2 linked regions of the Canis lupus familiaris genome follow. The protein of the gene in region 2 purifies or fractionates together with the protein of the main gene of each other region. This does not show direct contact. Links are inferred from orthologs where the notes say so. Each region holds a gene or a part of one and is shown on either strand. Other genes may lie near its edges.

Region 1 (4,302 bases), on a different chromosome or scaffold from region 2:
GCCTGGACCCATTCTCTGGTCCAGCTCTTTTCCATTATCTACCAAGACCTAGGGCTGTGCCACCTGACCAGGTGGGCCTCTGGCAGGTGCTGCTTTACCCCCTGGGCAGGACTCAAGAAGCCCAAATGCCTAGACTTTGGAGTGCCCTTGACTCCCTAACCCGCAGCCAAGATAGAGGTGACAGGTCATGGGAACTGTCCACCCCGACACCCAGGCCAAACCACACAGCACCTTGTTAGTAGAATCTTTTTTATTCAGAAAAAAAAAAAAAAAAAAAAACCAAAAAACAAAAAAGTTTTCCAACCACACACAGGAGGGGTTTGGGTAGGGGGAGGTGTCTGTCCATCCAGCCCCAGCCCCCAGCCCATGTGGTTTTGGCAGCAATAAGGGGTGTGGGGTAATGGCCCAAAAAATAAAAATGGTGTACGTGTGTGTATGGGGAGGAGAGGGGTGCAAAAGCAGTGGGGAGTGGTAGGGGGCGGGGACAGACGAGGTCAGTACTGGGAACGCCGCAGGTGGGAAGCCATTTCATAACATTTCTTGTTGATCATACCACCGTGGACACCTTCTTTGCCCATCAGCAGGACTAGCGCTGGAGGAAAGAGAATGGAGGCTAGGACCCAGGTGTCACAACCCACCCCCTGCCAGCTGTTGAGCAGCTGTCCAGCCCTGGGGGCTGTAACCCAACCTCCTCTCTCCCAACCCCCCCAACACACAGGCAGGCTGTCAGTCACTTTGAAACAATGGGGCTTTTCAGGAGAGGGAATCAAGCTTAGGGCTCCAGAGGGTGAAACGGGTGAAACTAATTTAGGGACCAGGGATTCAGGCTCGGAGTAATAAGCACAGTGGGGCTTATTACCCCAAGGCCTAACAGAGTTCAGAAGACACCCAGTCTTTTGGCCATCAGTCTACCCTTTCCCAGAAATCAGGGTTTCTGCCCCCTAGAAGGCTCAGGCCAGGAAGGAACAGAAGAGGTAATGCAGTTCAAGTTCTATTAGGAGATGAGGAACTGAGGAGTGGAGGAAGCACCCAGCGGCCTGTGATCTCCTAGTACTGGGGAGCCACAAAGGAAACCCCAGAGGCTAACAGGTTCATGAGGGGACATCGGAGGCCGGGAGGCAGTCAGGGGTCACAGAAACTCACTCTTGGCAGTCATGGTGACAGTGATGTTGAAAGTGGGCGCTCCACCGCTGCTCTTGGTACGAAGGTCCATAGTAAACTCCCCATCCTGCAGCAGCGAGTCCCGGATCACAGAACACTTCTGGCCTCCCAGTGTCAGCCCGTTCACGAAAAAACTCGACCGGTCTTTGCCAACCAGGACACCGACCTCAGCTGGCTGCAAGGGGAAGGCAGCGGCCGTCAGCGTCAGGATCCCCCGGTTTCCCCCTGCCCTGCACCGCGCCCCACATGGGGTGTATGCCGTCTGCTTTGTGCACACGTGTGGAAACCGACAAACTCCTAAGAGACTGCTGAGACACGGGGAGACCATATCCCAGGTTGGTGTCATCCCACGGGGAACACACACCCAGGGAACGGGGCGGGGGCGAAGCCGGAGCGGACAGTGGCATGGCAGAGCCGGGTAGCCCATGGACGCGCACCACGCTCCTCCAGGAAAAGCAGAAGCGTGGAGGGGAAGGGAGGGGGCGGGCGGAGCAGGAGGCAACTTTGTCCTTATTTGGTCAAAGGTTCTGCAGGAGCCGCGAGGGGCCCGGACGCCTGGGTCTCCGGGCGCCGAGTCCAGGGCAGGGGCGCGGTCCCCAGACCAGCGAGCCGACCCCGGGGGCCCTCCGGGAAAGTTGGCCAAGTTGGCACGGCGGTGCGGGACTGCGGCCGGCCAGACCCGGGTCCACGGACCCCAGGGAACCTCTCCCCTCCCCCGAACACCCCAAACCCCCACATCCGGTCCCCTCCCGCCCGGAAATCCCCTTCCCCCCCTCCCGCACTTCCGCTCCCCCTCCCCACTTCCGGGCAGCGCGGACAGGGGAGGTGGTGATGGGGACGGCGGCAGGCATCCCTCCTTCCACAAGTCGCGCGGCCCTGCAACTTCTCCCGAAGTTCCCCCGCGCCGGGCCCTGCCGGATGGCGGGAAGGGAGGGCAAGGGGACTTCCGGGCCGGGGCTCAGGGAGCGCGGCGCGCCGACTTGGGGGGGCGTGGGGCGGCCTCGCCCTCCGTAACGGGGCCGGGCGGGGCGGGGGCCGGGGCGGCCGGGCGGCCTCCCGCGGGGAGGGGCGGGGAGAAGAGACCGAAGAGGAACAATGGTGGCGGGGCCGGGGTCCCCGCTCCCGCCTGGTGCCCGGCCCCGGCGCAACCCGCCGCGCCTGCCCGCCCCGCCCTGGACCAGGCGGAAGTGGGCCTCCGCACCGGGCGGCGCGCCCCTCCCCGCCCTGTGCCCCGGATGTAACGCCCCGGCGCGGAGAGCGGGGCGGCGGGAGGGATGGGCGCCGCCGCCGCCCGGAGCGAGGGCCGGGGACCTCGGGGGGGCCTGTTCAAGTGCGCTCGCCGTCCGCCGCCTCCGGGCGAGGACCCGGTCGCGGCCCTCGGCCGCCCTGCCCCGACCGCCCCCGCCCCGCCCCGAGCCGGCCGGTGCCCCGGGGGCGCGCGGGCCCCGTACTACCGTGATGTTGACGAAGGTCTTCCCGGGGACGGCGGCCCACACGGAGGGCGAGTCCTTATAGCCCACGATGGCCGCGTCCTGACAGGTCCCGTCCGCCATGAGGTTGTCGATGTAGGCGTTCCAGCCGGCCATGGCTGCTGCGGGGCTGCTGCGGGGCTGCTGCGGGGGCCACGGACTGGGCTCGGGGCCTCGGGCTGGCGGGCGGGGGGCGGCGGAGAGCTCGGGGCACGCGCTGCCGTCCGGACCGCGGCTCTGCTCGCTGTGCAGCAGCCCTCGCACCGCCACTTCCTGCTCCTCCCCCCCCCCTAGATTTTTATTTGCAAAGGGCGGCAGGGGCGGGGCCTGCTCCCTTTCCTCCCTCCCCCCTCGCCTGCCCAGATACCGAACTTTGCAAAAGACGATTTTAAAAATCCCTCCCCCTATTGCAAAATTTGCAGAGTTGGGTGGAAAGCTCTGTAAAAGGATGGAGGGTGGGGTGATGGTGGTTGGGGGGAGTGCGGGTGGCAGGGGGAAGTTCGGGTCAGGGCCCGCTCCGCTTCGCCTTGAATACAAACGGGACTGTGGTGCCGGGGAAGGGAGCGAGCCCGAGGGAGGAAAGGATGCGAAAGCCGGCGGACGGGCGAGCCGCGCGCGGGGCCGGCGGGGGGTGCGGGGCGCTCAGGGTTAAATGGAACGGCTGCCCCTCCCCCACCCCTGCCGGAGGGCAGGAGCGGCGGCGGCGGCGCGTGCGTCCGCGCCTGCGCCGGGCCGGGCAGGAGGGCGGGAGGGCGCGGGGCGGTTGGGGCCGGCGGCCCGCGGCGCGGGAGCGGGGTGCGCGCGGCGGCACCCCACCCCCCAGAGGCGGGCGGGCCGGGGACGTGTCTCCCGCGGGGCGGAAGGGGCGGGCACGCGGCTCGCTCTCTATTTTATTCAGTCACGACTTGCGGGAGCCCCGGGTCGCGAGGACAGATGGGCCCGGCCGCCCTCAAGAGTCCAAGGCGTCCACCGGGAAGGGGGGGCACGAGTGTCTCCAGTATCTGCCCGACAGACACGTGCAGGAGCAGCCCCCCCCCCAGGCAGGCCCAAGCCCCACGTCCCCGCCCCCCGCTGCCAGCACTTTGGGTCACCGGCCGTGCCCCTTGGCCCGGCGCGGCCGAGGTCACTGGGCGCGGGAGGCAGGGGCGGGACTACTTCTCGGGGCGGAAGGACACGGGGAGGTGGCCAGATTTGCAACTTTTCCAAGAGGGGGAAAGTCCCCTCCCGCTCGGGCCCCTCGGGCTCTTTCTTCTTCTTTTCGGGGAAACTTGTGCTGGGAAGCTTTGCGCGCGGCTCTCGCCGGGCGCCCCGCGGGCAAGGGAGGGAAGGGCAGGGCCCCGCGGCCGCCCAGGTGGGGCTGCCGAGGGTCTGGGCCGCTTCCGGGCCCCCACGCCCCCCGAGCCCGTTCCTCGACAGCCGCGCCGCTGAGTCACCCGGCCGCTCGGGCGGGGCGCGCTCGGGCACGTGGCGGCGCTCCCCGCCCGCTGGCTGCTGACCTCTGCCCGCCGCACCCCCGACCCCGGGGTGGAAAAGTCCGGGAGGGCGCGGCCGGAGCCGGCGGGCGTGGAGGGTCAGGGCCGGAGCCCCGAGGTGCCCACGCTCCCCGGGCCGGGGCGCACCCCGCGCCGCCCCCAGACCCGACGCTCAGACCGCAGGGGCCACCCCCTCCGGT
Region 2 (4,271 bases):
ACCCTGGATCGAATCCCACGTCAGGCTCCCGGTGCATGGAGCCTGCTTCTCCCTCTGCCTGTGTCTCTGCCCCTCTCTCTCTCTCTCTGTGACTATCATAAATAAATAAATAAATAAATAAATAAATAAATAAATAAATAAATAAATTTAAAAATAAAAATAAATAAATAAACCATAAAACTTGTAATCCACTCCCTGCAAACCCCCATGCACACACCAACTATAACCCTTCCAAAACTGCAAGTCTTTGAAGCAACCTTGTACAAAGAACCAGATCTATGGGCTTTGGGTTTGTGTGGGTTCACTCTAGCTGCTCCTTCCCTATAAGCCTCAGTTTCCCATAAATGAACAGAAAGGTAAAAGATTCTTCTTGCTTATCTGCATTATCTTAAGTGTTCACATAGTGCAAACATGTTACTTGTTTTTTTTTTTTTTAATACCATTAAAACGTTTTATTTTCCTTTTTCTGTAATAGCATCGTAGTCTGGAGACTGCCCTAAATTCAAATCTAGAGCTGCCTACTTCCAAACTGACTTGAATAGGTTATTTGCTTAATTTTTCTGTGTCTCAGTTGACCCATGGAGGTGGGGCAGTCAGAATAATACAGTGCCTGGCACAGAGCACATGTTTGATCAGATGGTCTCTTATTATTATTTAAAAAACAACAACTTTGTAAGGTAATAATAATTACCATTCCTGGAAGAGGAAAGAAATGGACCTAAATACCGCTTGCAGCCCTCTGCCCTGAGATTCTCAGACCTCTGCCCCCTCTCTGAGCCTTCCCAGAATCCCAGCTGAGTCTCGCACACAGCAGACACTTAACAAATATTTGTCAAACTGGGAGAAAAAGAACTATATCTTGTAACTTTCCATTTTAACATCCTCTCTTCGCCCAGCCAAAGCAGACAGAAGTCAAGTCGCAGGATCCCAGTCCCCTCCCCTCCCTCAACACTGCCTGAGGGATCTAGGGCGAGCCTCAGTTTCCCTGGCTGCCCTCATGCAGGGGCAGGGGTCTTTTGGAATCCTAGAGGTCCTGGAAGAGGGGGCGCAGCGAGTTGGGCGTGGCCATCAGCAGGGAAGACCCCCTGGGGAGGTGCGAGTGACCCTCCGGTGGGAGGCCCAGCAGTTCAACCCCTGCCCACCGCCCCCCCACCCCCCAGGAGGTGGGAGCTTTGGCCGCGGCCAACAGTAGGGGGACCCTGTGGGAGGGCGAAGGCCTCCGGGCCTGGGGGAGGGGGGGCGGGAGGCCGGCCCAGACACTGCTCCTGCCCTTTTACGGTCTCACAGTGAGTGAGGCAGCACTAACTCGGACATCCGCCATCCGCCTTCCACGGTGCCTGGGACCGGAAACGCGAGGGGGGGCGGGGGGCGGGGCGGGGGGGCAGCCGTGGGAGAGGAGGGTCCCCTGGGAAGAGGGTGAGGGAAGAGAGCCTGGCTCCCCCCAAAATGCCCCCTCTCCGGGGCAGGCCTCGGAGGGATGTGGCTATAATGGGGGGTAGGTAGGCGGGAGACCTCGAGGGTGGGTGTCCGTGGGTGCCCCCTCACTCCAAAATGCTCCAACACTTTCACATCAGAAGGAACACAGGCGGAGGGGGTCTCTAATGGTCCTAAAGGGCAATGCGACTCTTGATGTCAGAGGGCAGGGGCGTGTGGGGGTAGTGGGAGGATGTGGGCACCAGGGGGTTAATCCCCAGTCCTCCTCGGGGGGCCTCCCCCTCAAGCTGGGGGCTTTGGGGGCAGGAAGTCCCTGAGAGAGTGGAGGAAGGGAGATAGTATTGTCAGGCTCGGGCCCCAAGGGAGAGATTATGGGGGGCCAGGGGGAGGGGAGAGTGGGGGAGGGTCTACTCCGGTCTCCCAGCCCGCCCCGGCCCCGCCCTCAGGTGAGCCCAGGAGTTCTGAGGTCCGACCCGGTAAGACAAAAATCCCTGGGTCCTCTGGGCCCCCCAACCCCAGGATTAAATTCCTGGGAAGGTGTCTGGGACTGTCTTGGGAGCCTGGGTCCCAGGGGGAGAGGGCTATGACCTTGAAGCTTTTTACAGCGCCCCCCCCCCCACCCCACGGCTCTGGAGGGCCGGGTAGGGGGGCGGTGGTGAGAGCAAGGGGCGGCGCGTGGTGGGGAAAGCAGCCGGCCCACTGCACTCCTTGCCCGCCCCCCCAACACCAGCTGTCTCGACAGGTGAGTCAGGAAGACAAAGGCCCCTCTTCCCGCAGCTGCCGCGCCCCCTCCCTCCCCAGGACGCACAGGTGGGGGCGCGGGGCCGCCCTCCTGGCCCCGGGCCGGGGAGCCGCCCTCCGCGCCGAGCCCTGGAGCTCCGTCCTAGGCACCGCTTGTTTTAAACAGAAGGTGGGTGGGGAGCGGCGGGGGAGGGGAGTCCCAACCAGACCCTCGAGGCTGTCCGGGTCCGTGGGTTCGTCTGCACTCACCTCCACCGGAGGACGAGAGCCCCCCGAAATTTAAGGGGTTAAGTGCCCCCGAAGTTAAGAAGCGAGGTCCCACTTGGGAAGGCTTTTTCCAGCGCCACGTAAAAGCAGACCCGGCAAACCAAGGTCTACGTCCCGAATCTCTCTTCCAGGTCCCAGGAACCCCCAACCCGGTCCCCTCAATCCCTCCCGGAGCCCGAGTTGAGATTTTTGGGGGGGTAGTCTGAGCCCTGCCTTAATTCTGGCCTCCATGCTGGCAGGATCTGGCAACTTGGAGGTTCTCTGAAAAAGTCTTTAAGAAATTCGGGAGTCCTCGGGGCGCCCCCAAATCTGAGGGCTTCCGAGAGAACCTCTGAGGCACCACCCGAGCCTTAGGAGTCATGGCGAAGCGGTCAGTATTTGGAACTCGTCCAAGGGGGCTCGGCCTCAAATCCGAGGCCCCCAGTGCCCTGTCCCCAAATTCCAGCTGGGGGAGGGGGACAAAGGCGGGGCGGGGAGCCCGCGCGGAGCGCGGAAGGGTTTGGAGGCAGTTCGAGGCTCACCTCATGGCTGCTCAGCGGGAGGGCGGCGCACCCACGGGTGGGTGCTCCCGGGGCGCCCCTGGCTCAAGGTTCAGGGGTTCGGGGCTGGCTCCAGGTTCTGCTCAGTCTCCCCCAGGGTCCCGCCCCATAGAGTCCGGCTTCCTGGGGGGGAACGTGGACGGGGCCGGGGCGGGTCCTCAGGCGCCTCCTCCCTCTGGAGGTTTGATCGGGGGTCCCTGCGGCAGAAAGGGGGTGCGGCGTCCCGTCCCCGGCGCGCCCCCTCGGCCGGCGGCGGGTACAATGTTACTCTTACTACTGTACTTCTCTTCGCTACATTTCGTTCCAAAATTCCACTCCCCGCACCCACAATGCCCTGCGCCTTAAAGGGGCCGCGGACACCTCTAGGCGGTGGGGGGGGTGAAGGGCGCTTAAAAGGGCAACGCGGAACCCTACACTTCCGCTATTTACCTCTTCCCCAACGTTAGAGAAATGGGGATGCACGCTGAGGGTCACCCCCAAATTAGGGGGTAGGTCTGGTGGAGGGCAAGGGATCCTTCCTGATCGCTCATTCGCTCCTACGATGGAAATTCTTAGGAGGATCTTAATGGGGACAATTCCTGCTCACCCTCCCCAACGACTTCTCCATTTCTTCACGTTCTGCTCAATTTGGGGGGTGGGCGCGAAGACGATCCTCTGGTTAAGCATAGATTCTCTCAAATTTTCCCCCTTAAATGATACCTTAAATGCTACCCCCAGCGTCTCTCTTCTCTGCTAATATATGAAAGGTGACTAAGGGATGAACCCCTTTCCCCAGCACAGGGGGGGGTGGGCGGGGAGGGCCCCATCCCTCTCGCCGCCCCCCGCCCGCCCCAGGAAGGTGAGGAGGAAGTGGGCCGAGGGGGCGCGGCCGGCCGCTGACTCACTGCCTGGGGGTGGGGGTGGGGGTGGGGGCGGGGGCAGGGGTGAGGGTGCGGCGCTGCCCCTGGGTGCGGATGGGACTCCAGGTTCCTGTGTGGTTAAAACCCCTGGAACCTCTCCCCACGCACCCCCGCCGTGACTCAGTTTCGCCCGCAGAGGATGGCGGGATCATCCAGCAATAGGAGGGCGCGGAGGCAGGGGCACCCACCCACCTGGTGCTGGCTCCTAGGAACCCCCTCCCCCACGCAGTAGCTTGGGTCTGAGGCCCAAACACCCTCCCAAGCTTCCGCAGCGGGTCCCGCAGGCCCCGCCCCATGTGACTCCACTGGTGGCCACTCCCCTCCCGCAGAGCGCCACCTGGCCCGGGTCAGGTACCCTGGGGCTGGATGCCTGGGAAATCATAGGTTCAAC

What was found.
Region 1: the proteins of VASP (region 2) and PFN1 purify together in Homo sapiens (affinity purification with western blotting; 3 studies listed by BioGRID and IntAct, with this or other methods). This does not show direct contact. The link is inferred for Canis lupus familiaris from reciprocal best matches to the Homo sapiens genes VASP and PFN1.

What each region holds. Positions count from the first base shown.
Region 1 is NC_049226.1:31,873,981-31,878,282, reverse strand, and holds PFN1 (profilin-1), read right to left. Parts: upstream 2,900-4,302; 5' UTR 2,748-2,899; coding exon 2,616-2,747; intron 1,337-2,615; coding exon 1,144-1,336; intron 593-1,143; coding exon 495-592; 3' UTR 239-494; downstream 1-238. UniProt on the Homo sapiens protein: Binds to actin and affects the structure of the cytoskeleton. At high concentrations, profilin prevents the polymerization of actin, whereas it enhances it at low concentrations. By binding to PIP2, it inhibits the formation of IP3 and DG.
Region 2 is NC_049222.1:110,771,734-110,776,004, forward strand, and holds the start of VASP (vasodilator-stimulated phosphoprotein), read right to left. Parts: upstream 3,014-4,271; 5' UTR 2,969-3,013; coding exon 2,964-2,968; intron 1-2,963. UniProt on the Homo sapiens protein: Ena/VASP proteins are actin-associated proteins involved in a range of processes dependent on cytoskeleton remodeling and cell polarity such as axon guidance, lamellipodial and filopodial dynamics, platelet activation and cell migration.